7 linked regions of the Xenopus tropicalis genome follow. The protein of the gene in region 3 interacts with the protein of the main gene of each other region in a biochemical or structural test. Links are inferred from orthologs where the notes say so. Each region holds a gene or a part of one and is shown on either strand. Other genes may lie near its edges.

What was found.
Region 1: the proteins of raf1 (region 3) and phb form a complex in vitro, tested with the Homo sapiens proteins (2 studies listed by BioGRID). The link is inferred for Xenopus tropicalis from reciprocal best matches to the Homo sapiens genes RAF1 and PHB1.
Region 2: the proteins of raf1 (region 3) and rasd2 form a complex in vitro, tested with the Homo sapiens proteins (2 studies listed by BioGRID). The link is inferred for Xenopus tropicalis from reciprocal best matches to the Homo sapiens genes RAF1 and RASD2.
Region 4: of the proteins of raf1 (region 3) and bad, one has a biochemical effect on the other in vitro, tested with the Homo sapiens proteins (2 studies listed by BioGRID). The link is inferred for Xenopus tropicalis from reciprocal best matches to the Homo sapiens genes RAF1 and BAD.
Region 5: the proteins of raf1 (region 3) and rheb form a complex in vitro, tested with the Homo sapiens proteins (3 studies listed by BioGRID and IntAct). The link is inferred for Xenopus tropicalis from reciprocal best matches to the Homo sapiens genes RAF1 and RHEB.
Region 6: the proteins of raf1 (region 3) and pebp1.1 form a complex in vitro, tested with the Homo sapiens proteins (3 studies listed by BioGRID and IntAct, with this or other methods). The link is inferred for Xenopus tropicalis from reciprocal best matches to the Homo sapiens genes RAF1 and PEBP1.
Region 7: the proteins of raf1 (region 3) and pebp4 form a complex in vitro, tested with the Homo sapiens proteins (2 studies listed by BioGRID). The link is inferred for Xenopus tropicalis from reciprocal best matches to the Homo sapiens genes RAF1 and PEBP4.

What each region holds. Positions count from the first base shown.
Region 1 is NC_030686.2:14,011,360-14,014,988, forward strand, and holds the end of phb (prohibitin), read right to left. Parts: intron 3,201-3,629; coding exon 3,105-3,200; intron 1,482-3,104; coding exon 1,269-1,481; 3' UTR 930-1,268; downstream 1-929.
Region 2 is NC_030680.2:114,844,011-114,847,633, forward strand, and holds part of rasd2 (GTP-binding protein Rhes), read right to left. Parts: exon of another isoform or gene 2,275-3,623; 5' UTR 2,266-2,274; coding exon 1,995-2,265; exon of another isoform or gene 1,973-1,994; intron 254-1,972; coding exon 1-253. UniProt on the Homo sapiens protein: GTPase signaling protein that binds to and hydrolyzes GTP. Regulates signaling pathways involving G-proteins-coupled receptor and heterotrimeric proteins such as GNB1, GNB2 and GNB3.
Region 3 is NC_030680.2:153,471,157-153,474,254, reverse strand, and holds the end of raf1 (RAF proto-oncogene serine/threonine-protein kinase), read right to left. Parts: intron 2,780-3,098; coding exon 2,645-2,779; intron 1,692-2,644; coding exon 1,551-1,691; 3' UTR 852-1,550; downstream 1-851. UniProt on the Homo sapiens protein: Serine/threonine-protein kinase that acts as a regulatory link between the membrane-associated Ras GTPases and the MAPK/ERK cascade, and this critical regulatory link functions as a switch determining cell fate decisions including proliferation, differentiation, apoptosis, survival and oncogenic transformation.
Region 4 is NC_030680.2:35,248,652-35,253,519, reverse strand, and holds the start of bad (bcl2-associated agonist of cell death), read right to left. Parts: upstream 3,510-4,868; 5' UTR 3,005-3,509; intron 910-3,004; coding exon 759-909; intron 485-758; coding exon 312-484; intron 1-311. UniProt on the Homo sapiens protein: Promotes cell death. Successfully competes for the binding to Bcl-X(L), Bcl-2 and Bcl-W, thereby affecting the level of heterodimerization of these proteins with BAX. Can reverse the death repressor activity of Bcl-X(L), but not that of Bcl-2.
Region 5 is NC_030682.2:14,441,288-14,445,694, reverse strand, and holds the end of rheb (GTP-binding protein Rheb), read left to right. Parts: intron 1-265; coding exon 266-333; intron 334-818; coding exon 819-901; intron 902-1,535; coding exon 1,536-1,592; intron 1,593-1,691; coding exon 1,692-1,739; intron 1,740-2,175; coding exon 2,176-2,257; intron 2,258-3,476; coding exon 3,477-3,569; 3' UTR 3,570-3,681; downstream 3,682-4,407. UniProt on the Homo sapiens protein: Small GTPase that acts as an allosteric activator of the canonical mTORC1 complex, an evolutionarily conserved central nutrient sensor that stimulates anabolic reactions and macromolecule biosynthesis to promote cellular biomass generation and growth.
Region 6 is NC_030677.2:165,331,993-165,337,144, reverse strand, and holds the start of pebp1.1 (phosphatidylethanolamine-binding protein 1), read right to left. Parts: upstream 3,486-5,152; 5' UTR 3,401-3,485; coding exon 3,266-3,400; intron 1-3,265.
Region 7 is NC_030679.2:130,094,625-130,099,031, forward strand, and holds part of pebp4 (phosphatidylethanolamine-binding protein 4), read right to left. Parts: intron 3,419-4,407; exon of another isoform or gene 3,323-3,418; intron 3,046-3,322; exon of another isoform or gene 2,929-3,045; intron 2,164-2,928; 5' UTR 2,055-2,163; intron 1,654-2,054; exon of another isoform or gene 1,578-1,653; intron 1,036-1,577; 5' UTR 1,020-1,035; coding exon 898-1,019; intron 755-897; coding exon 622-754; intron 1-621. UniProt on the Homo sapiens protein: Promotes AKT phosphorylation, suggesting a possible role in the PI3K-AKT signaling pathway.

The sequences.
Region 1 (3,629 bases), on a different chromosome or scaffold from region 3:
CTAGAATGTTTGGAACCTGGGGTTTTAAATGAGAAGGAAAGGCTAATAAAGAGTTAATCTCAAGCTGCAGGCATACCTTCAGTTCTCTCAATAGTGCCCTTAAGTCTCCCCATATTTTACCTGTTCAGAAGATCAGAAGCCAGACAGGAAGAAAAAATGCTGAGCTGTGTAAAGAAAGTTCCCATAATGCCTCACTCTGCACCGAGACCCAGACCAAGTGTACATGCTCAGATAGTTAGACTATGAGCCAGCTTCCTGCTGATTGGCTCAGATCCACATTCCTAAGGGGGGGAGTGAGTTCTTAGCATTCTTGAGGGAGGGGGAGCAGGAGAGAGCAGAGAGCTGCGTGTCTCTGGGAGAGGAAAACGGACACAACAAATCTTTTGACAGTGAACTCAGTGCAGCGTTTCTGTGAGTGCTTATGGCTGATAAAGACCTTTCTGATAAAGCTTACTTAGTTTTTACCTTTCTTTCTCCTTTAAAAGGGATCTTTTTGCTATGGTGATGGGGTGCAGAAAAGTATCTGAGCAAAGGCAGAGAATGTGAAGTGTGTAGAGGGAAGGAAGAAAATGATAAAGAACAGAAAACTCACTATCTAGCTATGTTGTCTCAGTGACTTTAGTCAATACGTGACAGGGTGACCCGAGGGAATCACAAGCTTAAAACCAGGCTGCTTAGTAAAGCCACAGTGACACTTTCCTGCTAGATTTTAGTCACTATCCCTTTACATTTTACACAAATCTCTCTTGTACTCTAGGTCTAGGAATACACCCTATGGCTGCGTGGGAGGGGGGGGCACAGTTTTGGCCAAGGGGATGGTGGTCCAGAAACAAACAATTTTAGGGAGGGCCTGGGCCCCCAAAGTTACATCTCATAGGTGATTAACACATGATCATCCCTACATAAGTAATCTGACTCATAATACAATGTCATTATTGAAATATCCTCTGAGGGATAACTTTTATTGTTAGTGACAGAAGGCCAGATTTTAGGTTTAGACATAAACAAGTGCTTCAACCAAAAATGTATTATGCCCTCCATTGAAAATACAATTATATTCAATTCAAATTCAGAAATATATTGGCAGGATTCAAACAGTTCTGTGGCTAAAGTCCATTTCATGTAGGGTATTATGTGGGCTCTGTAGGAGATTCACCTTCATACACAATCTTCTGTAACATTTCCCAAGGGAAATTGGCCAATTAACAAAGACCTATGTAGGGGTCAGACGTAAAAAAAAATAAATGGCATGACAACACATCATCCAATTACTGTGGTAGCTGTAATAATGTTGACTGTCCTGAGGGAAGGTAGGTGACATTACGAGCTCGAGACAGCTGGTACGCGATGTCCTCTGCGGCCTCCAGTTTGCGCAGCTCGATAAGCCCATCTCCTGCATCCGCCAGTGACGTCGCAATGAGCTCTGCTGCCTTGGAGTCCCCTTCTGCAGAAATCACTGCAGCTTTCTTTTGCTGCTCAGCCTGGAAAGGAGATACAAAGTAATTGGTAAGATTTCAGTCATCTCATTTAGCAATAGGAACTATGAAGGCAGGCACAATAATCCCTTAAAGGAAAAGTTCAGTGTAAAAATGAAACCGGGTAAAATAGATGGACTGTGCAAAATAAAAAATATTTGTAATATAGTTAGTTAGGCAAAAATGTAATCTATAAAAGCAGTTATCCCCAACCAGTGGCTCAGGGGCAACATGTTGCTCCCCAATCCCTTGGGTGTTGCTCTCAGTGCCCCCAAACCAGGGAGTTATTTTGAATTCCTGACTTGGGGGCAAGTTTTGGTTGAATAAAAACAAGATTTCCTACCAAATAAAGCCCCTGTAAGCTGATAGTGTGCATAGAGGCTGCCTAATAGCCAATCACAGCCCTTATTTGGCTCCTCCATTAACTTTTATGGTGCTTGTGTTGCTCCCCAAGTCTTTTTACATTTGAATGTTGCTCACAAGTAAGAAAGGTTGAGGACCCCTGCTATAAAGACTGGAGTGGGCAGATGTCTAACATAATAGCCAGAACTTTACTTCCTGCTTTCAGCACTCTAACCTTAGTCTGTCACTAACTTTGGAAGAGGGGGTGGGGGGGACGACCAGGGGGTCAGATTAAAAAGCAAACTAACTGAACAGTTCAGTTATGTCCCATATGCCCCCCCCCTCATATCACTGATTGGTTACCAACTGGTAACAGCTTAGAGTGCTGTAAAGGAGGAAGTAGTGTACTGGCTATTATGTTCATCTGCTCACTCCAGCCTTTATAGAATACATTTTTGCTTAACTAGTCATATTAAAAACATTTTTTATTTTGCGCAGTCTATTTTACCAGTTTCATTTTTACACTGAGCTGTTCCTTTAAGGTGGAACTTTGGCTTACGAACTAAAATTTGTTAAAGAGCTCCACACAACACAGAAACCCCTAATATACCTATGACTGTAATCTGTTCCTTCGAACTGTATGAATAAATACCATCTTTATATGCTAACATTCAGCTACAACACAGTTCTTCTCTTTCTGCATCATGTGAAATCCTGGCAGGGGAGGAGGGACTAAATCATTGATGTTACAATTTGTAATAACTTCTCCAAAGCTTAGAGAGCATACAGGAACTACATAACCCACAATGCATTGCACTGCAATGTTCCTTTCCTTATTGACGACGTGTGCAGGGAACTGTGGGATTTGGAGGATGCAGGCTGAGGACAGTCGACTACGGATGTATTTTGCAATGTTGCTTCAAATTATGTTTACTTTTCAAAGAGATTAGTTTGTTTTTGGGTGGAGTTCCGCTTTATTACAAAAAGGGTTGGCATATTCCATTATGGACAGTATATATCTTGATTGATCTGAAACACACTTCTTTTGGGAATATAAATATTTTACTCCTGCGCAAACCCTACAAAACATGCATATAATTGTTCAGTGCTACATCAGTATACATACAAACCTGTACATATACATACACTCCTGTACATATACATACAGGCAATATGTCTTGTGGAATACTGATAGTGAAACAAACATTTTCATACCATTTAGTTATCTATACATCTGTTTCCTGTAACCCATTAACTTTGGCTTTTACTAAATGATCACTCATGTACCTTCTCCACAATGAACCTGGCACGCTCCGCTTCCTGCTGGGCCACCTGTTTGGCTTCTACGGCCTCTGTGAACTCCTTGCCAAAGGTCAGATGTGTCTGAATGGAGAAATAAGTGCTTTAGGTTTTTTTATTTGCAGGTTACCTGTAAAATTATACACCACCCTGATATATAAATCAAAATTGCCACAGATATTACATGAAAGTGTTTTCCCGTCTGCAGGAAGTTAATCTGTTAATCTTCCACTACTAATGATAAGGTTTACATAACAAAAACCGAGAGCATCTATTATTCCAATGTGTCTAAATAATCCCAGGTCACATGAAAGCTTTTGATTTGGATTAGTTAGATTGAGGCCTTGGGGAATTCCCAATTAGTTGATTGGTCGAATGTCAAATTGTGCAGCTGTGCTGGCTAACAAACACTGTCATGTGACTCCTCTAATTCCAAGGCTTGGAGACACTAGAAGAACCAGCTGGCCTACAGATCCTTCAAGTTAATTGCATTTATATGGAGCACAAACCCAC
Region 2 (3,623 bases), about 39 Mb from region 3:
TTCTTTGCAGAAATCTCAAAGTAAGCACAGTTTTCATCTCCAGACACCAGGCGTTCTGCTTCTTCAGCTCTCACCTTGCGGTGATGCTCCCCATGATCACTTTTGTTGCCACAAATCATCATAGGGAATTCACCTGTCTCTTTAGTTTTGTTTTTGACACAAGATTTGACTTCCAAAATTTGCTTTCTAAGCCTCTTTACTTCATCAAAGGAGTCCCGGTTGTCCAGGCTGAAAACAAGGATGAACACATCACCTGGAAAGACAGAAGATGTTGGAGTTAGACTGTGTTCTCCACTGCTGGCACATGTCTTCTTGTTAGCTCTTACATATACCCAACCATTAGCTGCTGGAGTAATTAATGATTGAATGTAACATAACTGAGGGGCACATACAAGCTTTACAATCACCCCATTCTCAATTCTTTTGTGCTGGCAAAAGGGTTAGGGTTGAATCAGAATTGGCAATGCCAAAATTCCTGTCATTTTGCATAAAAGCAGGTCTGGTGGTTCCTGAATTGGTTACACTTGTCCCGAAGCTTAAGGTGTCTGGCTCAGTTTACCTATCACAGGCAAGTATTGGCTGATATACACATGCACAAACATGTCCTCATAAACCTTTCCTTCATATTCTCCCCATCAGTTGCTGCTATTTGCTCACACTTCTGACTTTTTGCTGCACAAAGTCACACTATATGCCCCTATTTATGTCACCAGTCTTTTTAGTAAAATACACATGGCCACCAGTGGAGTAACTAAAAGAGTCTAGTCACAAATGCAAATTTTTTTGTGGCCCCCAACTCTTTTCAGAAGATGATATATTTTGCACATGTTTATTACAATTGCCCATCAGTCGTGAATATCCCTGTACCCTCTATATCCCCACAAGAGCTGCTGTTTCTATTGCCTAAAGGGCAGACATATAATTATGCAGTCCCAATCCCTTCATTCAGGACGTGTCTGCAGTGGTAGCTGATCTACAGTTCCTAAGCTCTTCTGTCATCTGGAATATTCCCACACATAGTTGTACTGAAACTCCCTGTCTTCCTAAATTACATTTCCATCTATCTTTCATCCATCTACTTGCAGCCTCCCAGCTTTCCAATCTTTCTAGTCCAGAGCTACTTTTTTCACACATAGCAGACTAATTCGCACATAGCAGACCTTGATGTATCCCTTGCAATCAAATTGTTAACGGGTAACAAGGAAATAGTGGGAATTGCAAACCAATCACAACAAAGAGCTGACAAGTGTATTGGACCAGTTGCTATGCTGAACCACCAGCTGAGGAGCCACTTGACTCAGTGTGAGCAGAAGTCAGAAGAATCCTGGCTATCATTAATAGTGTTGGTTCCTGATTTTTAAGATTGTTCTAGTACTCCCCTTGGATTCTATTAAGTGCAGAACAATGACTGGATGGAGAATGAGGAGCTTTAAGTGTTACTGTCACAGCTCACTATGCTGGTTTTCTTTCATTTTCTAGTGATATATAGCATTCCAAAACATCCTCCCTATAGAAACAAAAATAGCATGTGTATGAATGTTTATATTCTGTCACACTAAATACTCTCTCAGGATATGTTTATGTCATCACCTTAGCGATCAGATTTTTTTTACTCCTTGGACATCACACCTAAACTATGGAATAGGCACTGGTACTGCTGCAAGGAGAGAGGCCAGGAGGGGGCCTTTCACCTATTAAAGTTTCAGTCCCTTTTTTGCTTGGGAATTCTGCAGAAAAGTTCAAGATTATGAATTTGTGCTTAATGAAAATTTACAGTTGCTACTGGGACCATTTCCACCATATAACTCCTAATAACATCATTTCATAGAAAAAAATAATTTTGATCAGTTACAAAAGGAAATCAAGGATCTGATTGGTTGCTATAGGCAACTGCTGTGGTGCATTTTAGTACCAGTCTAAAATGTCAGTACCACTGTGCATTACCTACAATAATAATTGTGTTCATGTTTAGCCCAATCTGTCTGTGCACCTACCTGTGAGAATCGATAGCCTCCTCATGGCTGGGAATGGATGGTTTCCAGATGTATCTAGAATGTCTAGCTGGTACATGTCTCCTCTGATGTTGTACAGCTTGCGATGAAAATCCTCAATGGTCGGTGTGTATTGGTCTTCAAATCGTCCGTTCAAGAAGCGAGAAACGATGGCACTCTTGCCAACTCTGGATGCCCCAAGGACAACCATCCGATAAGAGTTTTTAGCTGGGACACTGAGTGTGCAGTTCCCACTGGAGAGAGTCTTCATCATGGCTTCAACCTAAGACATAGAATATTTATTATATCATTTGACCTCAGTGACTAGATTCCTTAGCTTGCTCAGCTTGCGCTTAAAATACAGCCCACCCTTTCACATTCAAAGTCTAAAATCACCACTCTAGGGGGGCATTTATCAGCATTTGGATTTTTGTGGTTTTAAAGGTTTTTTTAAACTACAACTTAACTCATTTCCACGAATATCAGTCATTCTTAAAAAGATCCGAACTGAAGAACCATGAACAAAAAAAGATGCAGAAAAAAATGCAAAAACTTTTTTTTTTTTGTATTGTGGCACAAATGACAGCGTCAAAAAAAACAAAAACCTCTAAAACCACAAAGCAAAGAAATATCTTCCATTTGTAAAAGGGACATCTGCCATTGACTTCTCAGCAGGTTTTAGATGGCATATTGTTGCTTTCGGATTTGTTGCAGCTTTGTCACATAATGAATTGCAAAAAAAAATGAAAAGCTTGTATTTTGGTGCCAAGAAACCTGAATGGCAAAAAATTTGAGCATTAGTAAATGCCCCTTTGGTGTAAGATGCACCACATCCTAGATGTATCTAGTGCAATATTTCTGATGTCTATGCATGAATTTTATCCTTATCAAAGGCAACCTGTGGCACAACATAACCTTCTGGCACAACAGGGGTCCAACAAAAGGGGACTCAGACCCTGAGACTGTTGGGTGGCCCTGAAATGATGTGCAGTTTCAATATACAATTTCAAAACAGAACATATTGAAGCAAACCCAGGTATTCCTGTCTGCATGAGACCTACATGTTCTAATGTTGCATTTCAGAGAGTTGCATGTCACTTCAAAATATTTCCAGTTCCCAGACATCAAAGCTATAATACAGCACATTCAATAAAAGGTTGCCGTATTGACTACTAGAATGGCTTCTCAGTTATTTCATGAACTTAAGGGCATCATAAAGCAGATCTATCCCCCAGTTACTGAGACAATATCTATAATGACATGGCTTCTTTTGTGAGAAGTATGAAATCGCTTTTATTCGGCTACAGTACATTGATTTGCAGCTTTCATAGCAAATCAATGGCACAAAAGAATTGCGTCAAACGGCAGAGAGTGCAGGGTTGCATCTGCAAGTTCATCTACAATGAGGCAGAATGAAACAGGGGATGTAGGGAAGGTAATAATGTTTCATTCTGGATGTAAGAGAAGTGACCTGGGCCAAGGTATCTGTAAGTCATTCTGTAGATGGCAAAATTAGTGATACAGGTAATCAGCAAAGGTGGTATAGAATCATGTAGTAAAGCATTCAGTTAACAAAATTCTGCCAGTCAGTCTGTATTGCTGGAAAATGCACAATATTACCAGCCTCCAATA
Region 3 (3,098 bases):
ATTCCCCCTCTCTGGGTAGGGAACCCCATAACCTGACTGCCCTTACAGTAAGGAGCCCCTTCCTATGCTGATGGTGAGATCCCCTTTCCTCCCCACCCCCAATGTATCACTCATTCCCCCTCTCTTGGTAAGGAATCCCATAACCTGACTGCCCTTACAGTAAGGAACCCCTTCCTATGCTGATGGTGAGATCCCCTTTCCTCCCCACCCCCAATGTATCACTTATTCCCCCTCTCTTGGTAGGGAATCCCATAACCTGACTGCCCTTACAGTAAGGAGCCCCTTCCTATGCTGATGGTGAGATCCCCTTTCCTCCCCACCCCCAATGTATCACTCATTCCCCCTCTCTTGGTAGGGAACCCCATAACCTGACTGCCCTTAGAACAGCGGTTCTCAACCTGGGGGTCGGGACTCCTTTGGGGGTAGAATGACCCTTTCACAGGGGTCGCCTAAGACCATCAGAAAACACATTTCCAATGGTCTTAGAAACCGAGACACCGCTCCTCTATGGTTGGGGGGGGGGAGGGAGGGGGTGGTACATTATCCCTTATAATACATGAGTGATACTCAGAGTTCCCTGTATAACTCAGCCTGCAGCCTTGTGCCTTTATATGGGGGGCACAGAACCCCTCAGTGACTGCTAATATCCTTATCATTTACAGTAGGGGGTACATTATCCACTTTATATTTTCTCCTGTAACCAGACTCTCTGCCCGTGCTTACTTGGCTAATGTTCTGCACAGGTATGTTGGCACCTCCCAGCCCGGCACTACTGGGGTACCCCACTATAGCCAAACCCCTCTCACAGCCTGCCCTGTGCCCCCCCCAGCTGGATGACGGGAAACAGAATGTAAATAAAATGTAAGACGCATTTAATTTATAACAAAAAGGCAAATCAGCCAATAGAGGCAGCTGCTGAGAAGCAGTAAAAGAACCAATTAAAACCCAAATCATATAATAACAAACGGTATCACTCCGATTCCCCTTATAGTGCGCATCTGGGATCTCAGTCGGACCTTGTATGTACATTGGTGTATTGGGCCCCCCGCCGGGTTCTGCACCAACGTCCCCACTGGGCACAGAGACCTCCAGGGCTTTCCTGCGATAGACGGAACCAAACCCAATTCCCATTGTGCCGCTGCTGTATAGGAACACAGGGACCCCCCCGCCCGTACATGAACTGATGTGCAAATCAAGTCTATTAAGGACCCCCCAGGCCATTCCACACCCACCCCCAGCGCTGCTTCTGCCACAGAGAAAATTCCCCCCCCCCCGAGTTCATCTGGGATTTCAGAAATGAAGAAAATTCCAGGTCTGGAAGCTCCGGGGGCCGAGATTATTGCGCAGTGACTATAGGAGCTGGGAGGCCAACCCACAGGGGGGCAGCAGTTTATGATGGGGTGTCACACAGTGAGACTGGAAGCACAGTGGCGATATCCTGGGGCTCAGGGGCCCCTGCCTGACACACTGGACAATCTCCCCTTTGGGATAAAGCACTTGGCGTGGGGGGAGAATTTGGTGATGGTGCCACAGTCACAGCAACTGTCCCCTCAGAAAACTGCCAGCCGGGTGGAAGTCAGTGTGCAGGAATTGATGTCCTCTGTGTGTGCGGCGCGGTGTAACGACGGCTCCGAAGCGCTGCGATTGATTTTGGGTAACGAGTGTTGTAACAGCTCAATAGATGAGAGGATCTGGCACAGAAAATAAATATATTGCCATGTTATACTGTGTGGCACTGCCACCTATAGCCTGGCACATCATATGAACATAGCTAGCCTTCTGGCAGTGAACATTGGGGTAACGGTCACCCCGCTATAGTTCCAGGGGTACCCAGGGCACAAATAAGCACTCACCCCAAATCCCCCCCTAACTGGCCTTCAGGCTGGGCCCCCTTAGCCCATAACAAGGTTACAGATATATAGAAACATTGGGGTAACAGTCACCCCGCTATAGTTCCAGGGGTACCCAGGGCACAAATAAGCACTCACCCCAAATCCCCCCCTAACTGGCCTTCAGGCTGGGCCCCCTTAGCCCATAACAAGGTTACAGATATATAGAAACATTGGGGTAACAGTCACCCCGCTATAGTTCCAGGGGTACCCAGGGCACAGCACTCACCCCAAATCCCCCCCTAACTGGCCTTCAGGCTGGGCCCCCTTAGCCCATAACAAGGTTACAGATATATAGAAACATTGGGGTAACAGTCACCCCGCTATAGTTCCAGGGTACCCAGGGCACAAATAAGCACTCACCCCAAATCCCCCCTAACTGGCCTTCAGGCTGGGCCCCCTTAGCCCATAACAAGGTTACAGATATATAGAAACATTGGGGTAACAGTCACCCCGCTATAGTTCCAGGGGTACCCAGGGCACAAATAAGCACTCACCCCAAATCCCCCCCTAACTGGCCTTCAGGCTGGGCCCCCTTAGCCCATAACAAGGTTACAGATATATAGAAACATTGGGGTAACAGTCACCCCGCTATAGTTCCAGGGGTACCCAGGGCACAAATACCCACTCACCCCAAATCCCCCCCTAACTGGCCTTCAGGCTGGGCCCCCTTAGCCCATAACAAGGTTACAGATACAGTACCCAGACATTGGGGGGCACTGTACAATAGAGCAATGCAGGTCTATGCACCTCACCTGAGGGAATAGGGGGCGCTCCTCCCGCATTTTTTTGATACAATCGGCCACGAGACGCTTCATTGCCTTGGGGCAGTTCTTGTAGAGCTTACTCAGGTCGGGGACCGTCCCTCCTCGTCCAACCAGAAATATTATCTAAGAGCAAAGGAAAGAAGTTACTGGGCTGTGAGCAGTGGCACAGGAGAGGGGTAAGTCGTATCCAGGAAGGGTAGGTAGGTAGGTAGGTAGGGGGTGCTTCTCAGCAAGCAGAGCCAGAAGCCTCCTGAACAAGTAATACATTAGGAATCCATCAGGGGTGCTGGGAGTTCCTAAATTAAATGTTTCCTTTTAAAAGGAACCTTGAAGGGGGCAGTTGACCTTTAAAGGGAAACTAAACCCCCAAATAACGTAACTCCCGTGCTTCATCTAAAGAAACCATTTTCATACAGACTGGTGTGTCCGCCCCGGGCACTAT
Region 4 (4,868 bases), about 120 Mb from region 3:
TTGGCCACAAAATACACACAACTGTTTTCTGGCTAAGATTTGTTCAGTGTGAGCACTGAGGATTACATTTTGGTAAATGTGCACAGGTACAGAGCAGAGAGGGGCAGAAGTGTTTCTTCCACCAACTTTAAAAGCACAAAGTGAGGTGTTTGTGAGTTGTAAGTTAAAAAAAAAAAAATCCAGGAAGCTGGAAGCCATAAACCAAAGAAAGTACCACTCATTTTGTTGCATTGGAAAAACTATTAGGAACAGAGATACTCCCTTTCTGAAGTATTAAATGATAAATATAATTGTGACAGTTAAATTGTTACCGTGAAGCTTTTTTCAAATTCATCACTCATTCTTCTTAACTCCCGTCCATATTTTGTAGCGATCATTGAAGACGGAGCAGAACGGGAACGGGAACGGAAAGGATGGAGCTCGCCCACTTTGTCTGTCTCACTGGACTCTGAAGCAGACTCAGTGCGTAAACGTGACTCCTTCCCTGTGATAGAGGTAGTATTATTAATTATGCTTTTGTTGTTTACAGGGGTACAACTATTTCAGTATATGCTATAATTCACTTACTAGTTTAAAACGGCTGCTAGCAGCACTGTTATTATTACCCTTTATTTATCACTAAGACATTTACAACATACTTTCCAGAAGTCACTGCCTGCCTATATATTTTATCTTATAGCAAGTCAGATTTCAATATTACAGATGGCATAATGCTTATGAAGAAAGATGAAATACATATTTTCTTGGCAGAAGATCACCTGGGTATCTTCGCAGGCTGGGAGAACTCTTAGCTACAGGTTGTCGAACGCCTGCCCCACGAGGGGGATCCACAAAAGGCAAAGGTAATCCCTGTTCCTCATTATCGAATTCCTCTAACTTGAAAACTGCTGAAGGGGATGAATCTGCCATCTAAAAAAGAACAGAATAATTTCAGGGAGTTATACATACATATATACTGCTAATTTCTATTTTGATAAACCTAAGCTGTTTCCACATGTCTCATTTAAAATGTAACAGCATCAGTCCTGTCACAGTGTTTGATATTTGTCTAGTAACCCATAGCAAGCAAGGTAGCTTCTACTGGCTGCTACGGGTTACTAAATGTGGCAGAAGTTAAGGCTTTTTTTAATTCCAATGCCTCATTTGCGCTTTTAAATTCAGTGGGAACTTTTTATGAGGGTGTTTAATTTACCTAGGGAAACTATATATAGTTTATTGGCTTCTTTTTCTTCAAGGACAGCCTATGATTTTGTGAATGCTTGCGTTATTCACTTCTGTAATGAGATATAGGACTACAAGAACCTAAAAAATGAAATCATTTTTCAGACTGATGACAATGATTGTAAAATATTTGGGAAGGAACATTGATTTTTTTGGAGGATGAATCTGGATTAAAAAGAATACAGAAAGTAGCTCTTTTTTTCTAGCATACAAAATTATATTTAATAAATTAAGCATTAAAAAGCTTCATATTGCCATGCACTGGATGGGACCACATCTACTGACCATAAAATCATGGAAACAACTGGTAAACCAGGCAATCCCACTAATTAATCTTACCTCAGAAGCGAGAGGAACACAGACTAAATTTGACCTGATTTGGACCCCGTGGATTGAAGCAGGACTGGACTGAACCTACATAACATGTACTATAACCAAAGTGATATGCATATCTCTATTTGCACATAGTATGGTTGTATCACTGGCCAACCAACTAAAACTAATGTATTCTGCAAATGTTTGGCATAAATGTCTGTCTGTTGTTAATAAAATTATACCTATATAAAAAAAAGCTTCATATTAAAGTAGGAAGTACAATGACCAATCACCACACCTTTTGTTTAGTGAATACACTCACTTGTTGCACTGTGCTACAGTGTTTGGGAGAGATTGCCAAGAGAGTGGATCTTCTCCTGATATGCCCACCTATGGGGTGGGTGATATCGGGCTAATTCAGTTGTTTGGCCCTAGAGCCAAACAATGGAATTAAAACAGTGGGAATAGGCGCCTTAGGTTCGTGGACCACATTAACAAGCCAATGTGGTCCCCGATCTAACAGAAAAATCAAATCTGCCCGATCGAGATCTGGCCCGTCGTTCATGCTAATACATGGGCAAATAAGCTTCCGATTCTGTCTAAAGGATGTATGGCCACCTTTTTAGTGTTTAGTCCAACAAACAAAAAGCTAAATGATTAAAAAAGGAACTGAAAATTGTGAATATTAGTTGTAAATTGCCTCAAAATACCACTGTCTACACAAAACTAAAGGTGAATTTAAAGGTGACATCCATACTAGCAGGCATCAGGTATGATTGGCTGAACTGAGAAGGTCAAACCAGACACTGACACTTTGGTTACACAGTGATATAGGCGGAAGTGGTCAGATAGCATAATACCTTACTGACAAGGTTATAACAACACCTTGAGAACAGTACTTATATGAACCTACCAACTTCCTTGTGCGCACACCTAAGTTCCCAACTCCTTGTCAGCTGGCTATAGTGCATACTAACGGGGTGGGGCCCTTTAACGAGAGTTTAAGGTGCTGCAAATGGCACCAGCAGCCTAAACAACAGGCTCTCTGGAAAGACAGATTCTGCTATGTGTTGAAAGCTATACTAGGGAAAATAGTTTTGTCTGTTAGTGTGGAGGAAACACAGGATGCAGATGCAGCGCCGTCTCGGGCTCAGTGCCAACCTGGGGCGGCCAAGGTGATGCCAGCCCCCCCCATGTTTTGTTTTTTTTTTGCGTTGGAGAAAGTTGATGGGGGCTGAATCACTAGTGCAGAGAGCATAATAGTGATCTCTGCACTAAAATTCCGATTTTTATAAGTTACCAGGAGTCTTTTTACCACCCCTGGCAATTTGTCGGGTGCTGCCACCTAAGGTAAGTTGCTCAACTTGCCCCAAGGTAGCAGCTCTCCTGTGTCCCACTGTGACGGCAGTAAGGGCTTCCCTTGGGTGCAGTCAGATGTGTGAAAGGCTGGGCTGGAAGCCCTACTTACTCTGCTGGAGTGCTGATGAGCTCACAGTTTAATCCCTGAAGTCGCCTCAGCTGCTCCACTTGCTCAATGGAACCCTAGCAGGCGGCAGCTATAGTAAATCATGGAGACACTTCCGAGTGCTGTGGAAACATCCAGCAACATAGGGACTCCCCAGTCCATAGACCTAACACAGACTCACAGCTAAATGGCTGGTTGCAGAAATCCCAGTGTCACTGGCATGGTAGGGGTTAAATAACTCGGTTCAGAAGGAACCCTGCTTCCTATTCTCACTGTAGCTCTCTCTCCCTGTCAAGATGGCTGTCCGGCTGCTGCACAGGCTCACACTGGCTGCTGATGCCTTGTACACACACACAAAACGTCCAGGAAACTGAAGGAAGCAACTCCCAGACGGCTGCACACTGCTTCCCCCTGGATTCTGATATTATCTCTCCAGCAGCCTCTGTCTTCCAGTACTGCTTTTCTCCCTGTCCCCTTGTTTTGCTTCCTCTTCCTGTTTTTCGGCTGTGTGGGCGGGACCCTCTGAGTCCTGTACTAATGATTGGCTGGAGAATTCCCTCCATGCTGCAAGGCTAAACGTGAAGTAGTTTCTATGCAAACTGTTGTGAAAGGTAGCACTGAGCACTGAAAGCATTTCAGTGCTCAGCAACCTTACACATACAAGACATTAAGGGCAATAAATCCAACAGATAAACCTCTCATTTCCTTACACGTTGGAAAAGCACACAGACAGCTTACCTGGCTTCTGCCTCCTGATGAAATTGGGAGTAGTGTGTAGTATTTTTGATCTGACTGAGCCATGAAAAAATAATAGCTTTTTAACTGCAAATGAAGTGCTGTGCATCACTGCAGTGAATTTAGTGTGTCTGTAGTGGCATAACTAAAAGTACTTTGGGAGTTTAACATTTTTCGTATATAATCATATAGTCAGAGGACATAATGGTGCACTCCACTAACAGAGTCAGGACCTGGGTGCAAGAGCCGTATGATCAAAGTATAGTAAAAGTAATGTCAGCAATCACAGGATTTAGAATATAGGTGTAAAAAGTCAATATTTATTGAAACATAATAAAAGGAACATAGCAAACCTCAATGTTTCACATTCAAGGTACACATGCCTTTTAAGTCAGTGTCCAAATGGCCTCCAGCTTCCCTTTTAGTTATGCCCCTTTGTGTGAGACCTGTTAATGCATTAAATATTTTGGAGTTATCCTGCTCTCTGTTTACCTGGCTTAAAGCTAACCCTTGCCATGGAAAATGCACCCAAAATACTCAGCAATAGGGCAGACTACAGACAGTAGACTACAAGGAGCACAATTGGGGCGCATGGCCGTTGACATATACCTCAGTGGTGTAAATATAGAGAAAGCAGACTGCAGTCTGCTTCCTATATAGTTGCAAAGTCTTCCCTCCCCAGCCCCTCTGATACTTGCAAGCGGGATGGGAAGACTTTATAACTATATAGGAAGCAGCCTCTGAAGATATTTTTGTGGTGGTGGGACTGGTGCACACTAGATATGCCACTGATATTCTCCATTTAGGGTTGCCACGTTTCTGGAGAAAATACCAGCCTTTGCATATTTTTACCTTTCTTCTCTTATTAATTGGGATCAAGGATCAGGAAATTATGTGAATTAGACACAATAACTGTGCAGTGTAAATGTTTTGGCACTATATAAACAAAGGGTAATAATACTAAATTGTGTCCTGCAATTTGTATAACAATATTTACATCTGCAACTGTAATTATCATCAGTTTTGTGTATTGCTTACGGGCAAAGTGAAGACTGGTTAGGTTAGTTCAGCAGTCATGCTTCTTCAGTTCATCAGGCAGTGACAAGTGCTACGTGGTAGTTTAATATACACT
Region 5 (4,407 bases), on a different chromosome or scaffold from region 3:
ACACATGCTTTTTGATGGCTGAAATATCTCTGTTAATTACTGGTGATTTTGAAGATTACATTTAGTCAGTTTGTTTCTCTACCGGACTATTCCCAGCAGTGCTGCTAGGTTAAATATTTAGCAAAAATACATAAAGGCAATTCCAACTTCAAAATCCCTGTTTCTCCTGTTTATTGGAGTAATGACTTTATACTATACTGTACAGTACTTGCTATTAGTTTTGCGTTGAATAACATGCTGACTGTGTGTTGTTTTTGTTTTTAAGCATTTACTAAGCAAATTTCTGTGAATGGACAAGAATATCAGCTTCAGTTGGTAGATACTGCTGGACAGGTAAGCGGCTCTTTGCTTAATCATGTTGCAGTAAAAGGGATAGCAGTGCGAAAATATATTTTGCTTTTAGTTGGAGCTGTTTTATACAGACATACAGGTACTTTATATAGTGTCAGTGTTTGATTATCTGTTAGATTGGATATGCTGGTTTCATAATGTTAATGTTACATTAAAAATGGTGGGCAGGAAAAAAAAATGAGCCAGCAGGAGAAAATACATTTGTGCCACAAATGGAGCCTTATTACGGCAGTTTTAGCAGAAGCCAATAGGGCTGGGTATTTCTGCAAGTGCTTAGTTCTGCCGGCTTCAGATTGAACAGAGCGTGCGCTGGGGGCTGGAGGGGAGCCGGGCAGTGTAGAATGTGCCTGACAAGATTGGCAAAGTAGATCTTGTGTTTGTGCAGCCATTAGTTGTGTCTGGCAAATCTCATCTTTTTGTTTCTTTCTTAATTTATCATTAACCTTGATCTGTGTGCTTCCTTTCAGGATGAGTTTTCCATAATTCCTCAGACATACTCCATAGATATTAATGGATACATTCTTGTATATTCAGTCACATCAATTAAAAGGTAAGGCTGTTGTTTTTGAACCGCATGTTTGATATACTGCTATACAGTAAAGACAGTGCTTGGGAGTATGGGAGGTAGTGTGGTGCTGACTTGGTGTAGTCAGAGATAATCTTCCTTGTGCTATGAGCCTTGGGCAGAATACTATAGAGAGCTTGTGTCCGTTCAACCCCAAGACGTGTCGCTCAAATACAAAACCATTACTTTCAGTTTGACTTGGCACACCGCTGTTTGTGTTGGAATGGTCCAACGCTGCAGAAGCACATGTCCTTTTTGGGTTATTTACTGTTGGCCAGTAAAATATGACTATTCTTGCCAAGACCTTTGAATATTATGATAGTTCTTTGGTTTCTTATTGGTAGTGTGACATTCAAAGGGAAATATTTAAAATTATTCTGCTGTTGGGTTTGTGGGGCTCAGAATTCCTGACAGGCAGCTTATTGCAAGTAAATGTCAGGGTGAGGAAAAACTTCATATCAGGGGATGTGAAATTGAGCTTTCGCTGTATTATTAATTACTCAAACCTTTTAATGAACTAGAAGTGAGGATTTGAACTTAAAGGTCTGAAAACCTCTAATAATGTCCACGTTATTTATGCCATATGTGATTTCATGCTTATTCATTTCTTCCTTTTCAGTTTCGAGGTGATTAAAGTTATCCATGAGAAGTTGTTGGATATGGTGGGAAAAGTTCAGTAAGTTTTCCTTTTTTTGATTTACTACTTATTTTTTTTTATTTTAATTGCATACTACCTTTATTTTGTAATACTTATCTGCCGTTTGCTTTGTTTTAGAGTACCCATTATGTTGGTTGGAAACAAAAAAGACTTGCATATGGAAAGGTTTGTGGTGAATTTAACACTTCCATGTTCTGCTAACTGAAATGTTTATTATGTATATTATGTTTTAGCAAATGAAATAAATCACAGGTTTTCTTGCAGAAAAACTGCAACACTAAACAAGTTTTAGTTCTTCCTCAAACCGCAATACCTTTTTTAACAGAGCAACCCACTAATGGCATGGTCAATACACTTATCTGTTACACTTATCTTATCTTACAATACACTTTTCTGTTGGTCTGTATGTATTAAACCATTTTGGCAGCTAATAATTGTTTGTCAATGTTAATATAAAAGAGTTAAAAAGGAATGATCTCTTTTCATTCTTTTTTTACAGATAAGTATGTGTTCCAAAATTGTGCTTATAGGCAAGCACACAAGTGCTTGCTTTATTCACGATTGTCCTGTGATATTCACATGCTTTAAATATTTAATATAGGGTGATAAGCTATGAAGAAGGAAAGTCATTGGCTGAATCTTGGAATGCTGCTTTTTTGGAATCCTCTGCTAAAGAAAATCAGGTAAGCTTAACAAGTTGAGTGAGTGGAATATATCCATAAAATGTGGTACCTTTTTGGTATATTTTCAATGTCCTGGTGCTGACAGAATACCATGTTATGTGCCGTACAGACACCTCCGTAATGATGCTGCCATCCATAGGGGATATAGTACAAACAGGGGGCCAAACATTACTATAACTAAAAATGTATATGCACAGTAACTAAAATATATACAGTAACATATTAAGTGGATATGTTGAGAGAAAGGAGGTACCTGCCCTGCAGAGCTTAAAATCCAAGATGAAAAATGGCAGCTCTGTTACCACAAATGAAGGCTTGCCCAGGTGTTTTCAGATTCACAAAATTAAAACCAGGGTTTTTAAACCAGGTAAACAAGTTTAGGAATGTCTGTTAAAGGCCCTATTAGTCACATGGGCAAGACAGCATCTAGTTCTTAGCTGTTACTGCTTCTGTTTGTAAGATGATATGATTTATTTTTAAAGGAAAGGGAAGACTTGGATTTGCAACCCTGCTACTGTTAAGAGTATGGGCATATGGGGCATATGGTGCTTTTCTCAGCCTGCGTTTTGAATGGAGGTTGAGAAAAGCATGTTACAATCTGCAGCTTCCTGTAGCTCTGCAGACAGGCACTGGGTCAGCCTCTGTGCAGCTACACTGAGTGGACTTTGGCCTGAGAAATGCAAAAGCACACCTTTTCCAGCCAAAATCTGCTCAGTGTGGCTGCACATAGGCCAACCCAGTTTCTGCCTGGAGCTACACAGCTGTAAAGGGGAGCAGATCCTCTTTTCTACGGGTGCACAGGAGATGCAGACTGAGAAATGTATATCACACAACCTGTGTGCCCAGTGATCACAGGGTCAGCAAAGCATATAAGGATGCAACAGTCTTTCACAGCAAGAAAAAAATTACTAACGGGGAAGTGGCCAAGAAAATCTTGATTTTGGGTGGTTTGGGGGTTAAATGCAAGGGTAAACCTGTTAAGATTTGGGTAGGAGTTAGAAAATTGGGGTGTATAAAAACTAACTCTGTGCCCAGGGCTCTCTGCTACAGCCCCTATATCTACCACAACACTAATGTGTTTTCCAAGTCACTCTGATTACAGATGATTTTATAGGTTGAAAACCCTAGTTTTTAAAATTATCCTAAAAAAACAAATGTAAAAGTTCTCTTTAGTCTTTTTTTCTGCACTAACGCCTATTTGTTCCGCTTTCCCATACAGACTGCAGTTGATGTTTTTAAAAGGATAATATTGGAGGCAGAAAAGATTGATGGCGGGTCTTCACAAGGGAAGTCGTCATGTTCTGTAATGTAATTCCACTACACAAGACGCGGACACTGGGAATATATTCTACTTGAATAAGCAAACTGCCTGTTCTACTTCAAAACTATGCTTTTCTGTTAACTATTTCCATGCCAGAGGAGCCAGGTGTTTCCTGTACTTGTCTCCTCTGGCAAGCAAAGGTTTAACAATGGTAAGGTATGGATGGTCACAGCCTTCTTTTCTTTTTTTTATGGTTTTTCTTCAGATTGTCATAATCTGACTTCTGTGCAGATGATTTCACTGCCATCTTCAAAATGTCTCAATCACAAACCTCTTCAATTTGTATATCATATTTCTTAATATTATGGCCAAGACTTTTACTGGCATTAATTTTTCATTGTAGTTTGTTTATAATATTGTAATCATACAGATGATACATATTGTTACATTACTCTTACTTAACCAGGCTTGAATGTCAGTGTTTCTTTCATTGTTCAATGTAAACTTGTAAATAAAACAGCTGCAGACCTTACAGGTTCCTTTGTATGTGTTCTACAATGAACTCACTAAGGAGTTTATTGTAGAAAAAGAATTGAATTGTCCCTTTTGAAGAACAGGTTGGGGGAAAAAGCTACCTGGGGAGAAGGGTAAATGAGTGAAGAAGCACTGCAGTTCCAGTAGTACGGTTATATAGGGCTGCTAGTTAGGGGTCAGGAGACGTATTATTATATGGGACTGGTATATGCAGTGTGAGAAAAGGAACTGGCCTCTTTCCTGGAAAGAAACCCAGGATTCTTTGTAAAGGAACTAGGAATTGAAAGGAGCGATTTGCTCCTTCAAGGTTTAAAGAAATGGATAAGAAGGAATGTATTTGGCTTCTTTCCACCCA
Region 6 (5,152 bases), on a different chromosome or scaffold from region 3:
ACTATATATACAACCACTAATACTAACTGTAGATATTAGTATCACAATAGCCTTAGATATTCTGATTGTTCAAGAACTCATCCAGGCCCCTCTTATAGGCATTAACAGAATCTGCCATTACCACATCACTAGGAAGGGCATTCCCCAACCTCACTGCCCTCACCGTGAAAAAACCACCTACGCTGCTTCAAATGGAAGCTCCGTTCCTCTAATCTAAATGGGTGGCCTCTGGTGCCAAACTACCATTCAGTAAATAGTTCACGTTTATATTATTTTTACCGAAGTGCATAACTTTGCACTTATCAATGTCATAGGCAGTCACTATTTATTGGGCTGGTGGAGGACTGTTTGAAATGCCAGGGCCTATTTTGTATCCCAGTCTGGACTACTATGTCAACCCAAAGTTGTAAGGATCTGGTCTTTTCCATGGAGAAAAGAAACTAATGGTAACACAAAAGATACAAAAAATGGTCTGGCAAATCAGGACAGTGCAGGTAATTTTCAAATGAATGGCCCCAACTAGTGTGCACACAAGAATGTGTGGACTGCACAAATTTACGGTACGGCTCCTGCAGTGCTATATTCATGAGGGGTGGGTAGGGTTGCCAACTTTTTTGTAAAATAATACTGGTCATTGGGTGGTGACTTCACACGGAGGTGGGACATTTACATCACAGGGCAGGGAAATGGGCAAACGGGGTGGGGAAATAGACTGGGAGAGGAAATGGATGGAATGGGTGGGAAAATGGTCAGGGCATAGGTGGGTCTATCTTTATAAGTGGGTATCCTGCACCGGAGAGGGTCAAGGAAGGTGTGGCTTTATAGAGTATTACACATTTATTGCCAGTAAATTTATAATTGCAGCCTGGCCCTAAATGGTGATTTACTGGCTGGGCTAGGTGTGGGCACAGGGTTGATCCAGCCATAAGGCAAAAAAAAGCCAGTTATATAAAACAGGAAGCGACTGTGCTCTCTGCACTTGCAATGTGCCAATTGGCTCCTAACTAGGAGACCATGGAAGGCACAGGGTGCAAGGGAGCCCTGTACATATAGAGGCCCATTCACTAAAGGTTGATAATGCTTATCACATGCTTTTTTGCGTTAAAAAGCATGTGATAATTAAGTCCTGATTCATCAAAGTAATTTCGCATGCATTAAGATGCATATCGCATGCACAAAAAAATGCAATGTGTTATTTACCTCCCATTGGGTTAATTCTTGCATAGAAATAATACTAATGCATGATTCACAAACACATATGAAGCATTAAACGCGCTAAATATCGCATTAGTCTGTGCGAATATTAACACCTACTTGAGGCAGGCGGTACTTAAAGGGGACCTGTCACCCTAAGAAATAACTCCAAATTATTTTGTATATTGTTAGTTGTGCAAAATAAACTTTACTTACTCTATATAAATAATATAAATCTTGTTTCATTCCGTTGTGGAATTACTCGATCAAAGCAAGCAGGCAGGCACCATTTTGTGGACACAGTTATGAAGACAAGCTTTGTATCATGCCAAAATCTTGTTTATGTGCCAGAATGGGGGACCTGATACCCAGGCCCATGCACTGGCTATACAATTAGATGAGGAGGAGGGAGGGGGAAAGTGAGATGTGCAGTGACATCTAGGTAGTGCTGAACGGAAAGCTAAAGTTATTGGCTGCCCCGCCTCTATGCCTTAGGCACAGAGGCGGGGCAAGCAATATATGATTGACAGCTGGGATTTTTAAATGCCTTTATAATGGGTTTGGATGTGTTAATATAACAATGAATTTGGGTTTCATGTTTAATTTGAAAAGGACTTTTATTATACAGCTTTTATGTCTGGGTGATAGGTCCACTTTAAAGATAATTGTGGTTCGTGAGCTTTTGGCAACACAACATGGACTTTGCAGTGGGATTTTTTCAAGTATGTGTTGGCCCTATAGTGATGCAGCCTCCAGTTTTCAGGGAAACGGTAATTATCAGAACAGTAGTTTTCCAAAAGTAATGGTTACGTGCGTAAAATTATGTGCTAATATAGCAAGCGGCGAAATATATTGCGCGCAGCGGGAAATAACACATGTGGCGGGAATTAACTCAAGAAAAACGTTCATCGCAAGTTAAATAACGCAAAGAACATTGTGTCTTAATTATGACGCCTGTCCTTTTAGCGAATCGAGCGTTAAGTCACAAAAAATAAGAAGCGATAACATTTTTAATGCATGCTATAAATAGCGCTCGTTTTATCGCACTTTAGTGAATCAACCCCATAGTGTGACCTATCGTAGATGGTAATGACAGGGATCCTTATATCCTCCAGCACAAAGGTCTGCACAAGGTGGTGAGCCTCTCCTGCCTACTCCTAGTCCTCCTCCTTTGTCATTGCCCCCGTCGCTTGTAATTAGCGGTGGGGGCAATGACCCTCGCACCCCCTCCCCCAACTACGCATGTGTAACAGAGCATGGAAGGGGGGGGGGTCAGGTGGCCAACCGGGTTGCCTAGGGTGCCCGGTCGGCTTGGCCCGCCCCTGGATGGTGGGGAGGGGGACACATTCTAAAGCTGGCCAGACACGCACCGATATTGTATTGAATATCGTATGATATTCAGTGTGTGTATGGCAGCTCAAACAGGCGATCAATATCGCAAAGGCTACGGATATCGGTTGTCTTGTCGATCGGCCAGGTTCAAAGATTTTGATTCAAATCTACATTTAGGGCTTAATTGGCAGGTGGAGGTAGAATTTCTATTGTTTCTACCTCCATATCTGACGATTCAGCCCTGAACGTCACGATCGTTATTGCTACGTGTGTGGCCACCTTTAGTAATCCTGTATTTGCCTCTGGTGCTTTTACAAATGACCACTATGATTAGTTACCATACATGCACACCTACCTACTTACTGTGGTACAAAGAGAGCTGAAAACATGGCACAAGTGCTGCTTCATGAGATAAAGGGAGGACAATGACCAACTGTTTACACTCCCCTGTGCAAGTGTCCATAGCTAGGTAATTATCTCCCCCAAACTGCTCAGATTTACTAAAAAAGACAGGTGTTTTCTGCACAGAATTATACATTTTTACTTAGTAGTACTACGATATTTGTAAGGTAAATCGAATTTTTCAAATTCAGAACTAATTCAGTTTCCTCCTTATACACATCCCTATTAGTTTAGCTCTGCGCTGAACCAAACTTTACATCAAGGTGAGTGATAGTTACAGGGTGATGGGGGTCTCAGCCTGAACGCTTGCCTGCCCTACGAGCACTACAAAGTGTACCTGGGTGGGTGTCAGCACTTGCCCCAACTCCTCCACGCAAACAGATCCAAAAGCGACTTTCAGGGGGTATTTTGGCTGCTCCTCCACCTCTTGTAGAGCCAGGGGTCCGTTCCACTGGGAAATATCCACTAGCATCTTGGGGTTGATAACTACTACTACAACTAGTAGCAAAGCAGCGGCCACTGTGCAACTTCTGCGTTCTTCTGGCTGCTGTCGCTCTTCTGTGCCTGCAACTAAAGGGAGCCGCACCCTCGGCTCTGCCAGTTTCATTGGTCGCTGCGCCCAGCCAAACCCATCTTGGCACCAGTTTAGAAGATTAGAATAAAGTAGAGAATTTTGCTATTTACTGAGGCTTTGTGTGGCTTTATTTATTCTGTGCCTTACTGAAATCTCTGGGAATGGCCAAGCAGAGATTAAACATACATTATGTGAGTACACTAAGGCATTGGCATAAACAAGTGTCAGCTTGTGCCACTTTACAGCAGCCCCTGTTGAAGGGTTAAACAGCTACTACACAGCATGTGTGAAGGGTTAAACCTGTATGCTGCTTTGAAAGTGGATAATATCCATCCCAGCACTTGCTGAGGCTTGTTTATAATATATTAATAATGTACAAAGCTCACTATTCAGAATTGTACCCACAGTGTAAGTAAATCCCTGGCATGCCTGCCTGTCCCTAAGGTTCATACAGTTTCAGACTGGGACATTATGGGCATGATACCTTAACTGACTGACCACTAGCAAGCCACAACATTATCTATACAAACCAGAATCAACCACAGATTGGGCACTGCAAGTAACTACTAGTGGTGGATTTTCAGCAGAATTCATAGAACTCTGTTGTAAATCTGCTGAGGAATCTGTGGCACTTCTAAAAGGGTGGAGATCTCTCTTCACTGTAACCCTTATAGTCTCCCTGGCCTCCCTCTGCAAATCTGATTTATGCGGAGGGATGGGTAGTTGCACAGTAACCAACAGCATTAAATGGCACAGCGACTCCAGGGTCGGACTTTCCCACAGGGTACTGGGAGAATATCACTGACACCTGCTGCTGAAAACTACTTATCTTAATAAGGCTGTGCCATTTATGTGGAATGTTTGGCAATCTTTATGTAGCATTTTCAGCTAAGCAGAGAAAGGCAGAGAGAGACAAGCAGTATAGGAGCACTGGGAGAGAAGAACAGTTTGTGGTATTACGCTTGTGTGGATGTGGGTGATATTATTCTTTCACTCTATTCATTTTCTGCAGTGATTTTGCTGGTGTGTTTGGGGTTATTGTACTCATAGGTCATTTTCTTCTTTGATTGTGGCTTGTCTGGATTTAATGAAGTGTTCATTGTCCTTTTTTACAGTGTTATTACTGGCAAGTCTGGGGTTAATAAACTCATTATTCACTTTTTGCAGCTGTGTTTCTCTGATACTTAGTGCTAGAAATCAAATCATAACTATTTCAATATATATATTGTACACCTTTAAAAAAATGAGTACCTTTATAAGGCACAAACCCACTTAAGAGATGTCTGCACCAGCACAACACAACCCAGTTGTGCCAAAATTTGAGACATACATCCATTGCACTCCTTCAACAACTTTTGGTTGTCATTTGTTTCCCAGCATCCCAAGTGGTTTATCCAGAATGCTGAGCCCTGTTTGGTATTATTTGCTTTGGGGGAACCCAGAAATGACGCATGCTGAACCCTTTGTGCATTACATGCTTCTGTCGCAGGGAGTAGCTATTTCCCACACATGGAACCCAGTTAAATCTAATGGTAGGGATCTGTGCGTGCCATTCTCACCATGAATAGCATACTATTTATTGAACATGCTACAGCCGCAAAGGTTGCACAGATGTATAGCAACTTTAGTTGCTGTGCCCCCTTTAAGAGA
Region 7 (4,407 bases), on a different chromosome or scaffold from region 3:
AAAGTTTGAGGGACGTCAATAAAGTAATGAAAATATCTTGGAAGCAGTAAAGGGGCAACTGGAGCTCCATTATGTCCCTGGAATTTAATGACTTCTCACAGCAAATCATTAGGTATTAAAATACTGATGACTCCTGAAGTTTTTTACAAAGTCTCCACACAAAATGACATAGGTCTGCACTGACAAAACAGTTTTGAGTTCTGTTGTGGTTATTGGGCATGTACTTCTATAAATAGGGCAAAATGAAAAAAAAAACAAGTGAAAAATTTAGGACTCAGCAAACTTTTTTTTTTTATTCAGTGGTAAAGAATTGCTGATATTTTTGAACTTCAAAATGCCCAGTACTCTCCTATTTATCATATGCATGGTATTGAGCAGGGATCCCCAATCTTTTTTACTCATGAGCCACACTCAGATATAAAGAAGTGTTAGGAAGCCACACAAGCATGAAAACGTTTTTTGGGGATGCTAAATAAGGGCTGTGATTGGCCAGCCCCATGGGGACTGCTGGCCTGCTGGAAGCTCTGTTTGGGGTAAAACAGTGTGTCTGTGCTTCCAAAACTTGCTAACATTTTTTGGTGGAAAATAAAAAAGCACTTTCCATGATTTACGTATACTTACCGGCTGGGCTTTGGAGTATCTGAGGAGAGGATAATCCCACACTTTAATGAGGCTCCGAGGAAAGTCAAAACAGTTGGGGATATAGATGCAGGACACGCGGCCAATATCTGGATATATGACATCTAAATCTTTACTGCAAGGCAAAAGAAGGATGAGAAATAAAGGATAAATAACGGCATGAAAAACCACAACAGGGAAGCAAAGAGGATGGAGGTAGGGCAGGAAACACAATCTGTGGCTCATTATTTCTGGACTCATTTCTGCAAAATGTCTCACCTGCAGAATTTTTCATCATTAGCATTGAAGAGTTTCCTTATGGAACATTCCTCAGCCTGAAGTGTACAGAAATGGGCAGCCAATGACAGGAGAGCCAAGAGTGGCAACCAGATCCTGGCCATCGCGATCTAGAGCAATCTAGAGCAAGATAAAGAGAATCATGCAACATTAAGTTGTCTTGACTTGAACTGAGATAGAGGAACATGTAAAAGACATTTTCTTGGAAGCAGATACGTCAAATGGCCAATGTATCTGGACATTTAAGAATTAAGGGAATGAATAAGAAGTTGGTCCTCTTAGCCCGTTACACTTCTAGAAAGGCTTTCTGTGCTGTCCTCACTTTGTGAATATGGGCATTATTGTGCAGAAACTGTTGCCACAAAGTATGAGGCTTGACATTATAAAGAATCCCATGATGATGTGGCCCCTGTGTCAGCAATGCTATATAGTTTAGGCAATTCCAGTTATGAAAAGGGCACCCCCCTACATTTGCTCATATGTTCTATTTTTGTTATAAACAGCATCATTTAATCTGCTTCATATTAAAAACAAAGTCTACAAGACAGCTGCTAACAGTGTATTCAAAGCAGCATCACTGGTTAGGGGGATAAAACCCAAATATGCCACTGATAGCTAAATTCTAAACCCTAATGTCCACAACTGAGGGATTTAATACTTACAGACAATGGCGGAAGACTAAACAACAAACAAAGGGAGTTAGATATTCTATATGAATACAAATGCAGGATCTGAAGAATCATTAAGAAGATGTGCTTGCATTGTCTAGATATTAATTTCAGAGCTGCTATGGTAACAAGTGATGGGGTGGTGCCAGGGATCTAGGGCACCGGTGAAGAAAGCATTCTTGCAGCTGAAAGTACGTGGACACAAAATGTAAAACCAATGATTTATTATGTAACATGAATGGCATGGATGCAGCAAAAAGACTGTATATTTTTGTTTTTTTGTCAGAGTATAACTACTGTATACAGCACTGCCTGGGAAGACATGTTATTGTATCTTGAAAGACAAAGAGCACTTAATGTAACAGAACCACAACAGCAGAGAGAATATACCCGCTAGTGGCACTTGTTTTCCATACTGGAAAATGTTTTGGCTTAGGCACAATACATAAACCAGATGCGGGTTTTACTTACTTTCTGGACTTACATCCAATACATTCAGGATCTTTAGTTTTAATTAGACGGCCCTCAGCCTTCCTACTGCCAAATCCTTTATCCCTCCTTTTTCCTTAGTTTCTATCTTCTATCAGTTATACATAAAAGAGAAATAGAAAGGTAGTCAGTGCAGTGGTACCAAGAAGATAGTTCATAACTGATCTGCAGGTCTAGATTTGGTAGTACAGGTATGGATCCCTTATCCACAAACCAATTATCAAGAAAGTTAAAAATTACAGAATTACGGAAAGGCCATCTCCCACAGACTCAATTAATCAAATAATTCACATTTTTAAAAATAGTTTCCTTTTTCTCTGTAATAATAAAACAGTACCTTGTATTCCATCCCAACTAAGATATAATTACCCCTTATTGGGGGCAGAACAGCCCTATTGGGTTTATTTAATGGTTAAATGATTCCCTTTTCTCTGTAATAATAAAACAGTACCTGTACTTGACCCCAACTAAGATATAATTACCCCTTATTGGGGGCAGAACAGCCCTATTGGGTTTATTTAATGGTTAAATGATTCCCTTTTCTCTGTAATAATAAAACAGTACCTGTACTTGATCCCAACTAAGATATAATTACCCCTTATTGGGGGCAGAACAGCCCTATTGGGTTTATTTCATGGTTAAATGATTCCCTTTTCTCTGTAATAATAAAACAGTACCTTGTATTCCATCCCAACAGATATAATTAATCATTATTAGAGCCAAAACCATCCTATTGGGTTTAATTACTGTTTAAATATTTTTTTTAGTAGACTTAAGGTAGGAGATTCAAATTACAAAAAGACCCCTTATCCAGAAAACCCCAGGTCCCGAGCATTCTGGATAATGGGTCCAATACCTGTAGATCCAGGGGTCCCAGCTCTGTTAATGAATCTTCCTGTTGCATGGAAGACAGTTCATAACTGGACAGTAGATCTGGAGTTGTCAGTAGATCACAACAACTTATAAACAGAAACCTTCCTGTTTTTTTCTAATTTTTCACATTTCAAAAGAGTATCAAATAATGTATGAATGTATATAGAATTTATGATGTTATATTGACATGCAATTGATGTGGCCAAGGCTGTCATTATACTTTTTCCTACATTTGTAAGACTGTAGCATTCAGGGTACTTTGAGATGCAATGAACAGGTGACTAAATATTGTTTTTAAACCTCCGGAAAGTGGCCCTTTACAACTGTAATACAAAAACATAAAGGGCCACAGGAGACCACAGTTTAAAAAAACTCACCATGTAGAGAAGGTGGTCCAGGAGCAACGGTCCCTCAGTTCAGAGAGCGGATTAACCAACAGCAAGAAAACAGGGGGGGGATCCAGGCACGCAAGGATGCCCATGACTAAGTGCCCTTGGGGTCATGAAACACACAGAGTCACTGGAGATCTTTTAATGTAATATTTAATAAACATGTTTTTTTACTTTGATTTTTGCGGTTCTTGTGGAATCCTAGAGCCCCTGGTTACCCCCTGTTTTCTTACAGTAGGTTAACCCTATAACTGTACCCACTATATATCCTTAATGTTGTGTTCGTATCCCTTGATAGGATCATTCACTAAAGGTAGAGCCCTCACTGGTAGTCTGTGTACCTGCGTTCACGGGAACACAAGGAAAGTACAAATCAATGGGAGTAAGCTACTGAGGTCTCAATTACTGTTTTGTGAACAATGAATAAATGAAGGATAAATATATATAATTATAATATACAGTGGTGGCGACAATTGCCTGTCCACTATCTCATTCCAAAATGAAGGGTATTAATAGGATTTTGGTTGCCCTTTGCTGCTATAACAGCCTCTATTCCATTGGGAAGGCTTTAATGGTAAGGACAAGTTTTAGTTCTGTTTAACCATAAGGCCACTTTTGTTATGTTATCAGGTCTGCCTTGCAAGTAGATGTCCAAAATATTGCACAGGAGTTTGCCTACCATGTCTAGCATGCCATTTAAATAACAATTCAACCCAAAATATAATTTTTTGCCTTATAAAAGAAAATATCATTCTAAACAACATTGCAGTATACATTCATTACACATAAAATTGCTATAAGAAGTAGTGTTTGCCTGTCCTTCTCTATTCTCTGCACTGGTGGCTCTGACTCCTGAAACAATGTAACACAAGGCAGCAGAATGACAGACCTGACTCGCTGGAGGAGACCGACCTTTGCAACATTGTTTAAAAAGTAACAACCAGGGTTTAGCAAATGCTGCTTTCAATAGCAATTACATTTACAAATAACTGTTAAACATGTTCAATAAATTCACTCAATTCAATTGGAAAGTTGCTTGGAATTATGTTTTCTTTTATTAGGCAAAAAATTAT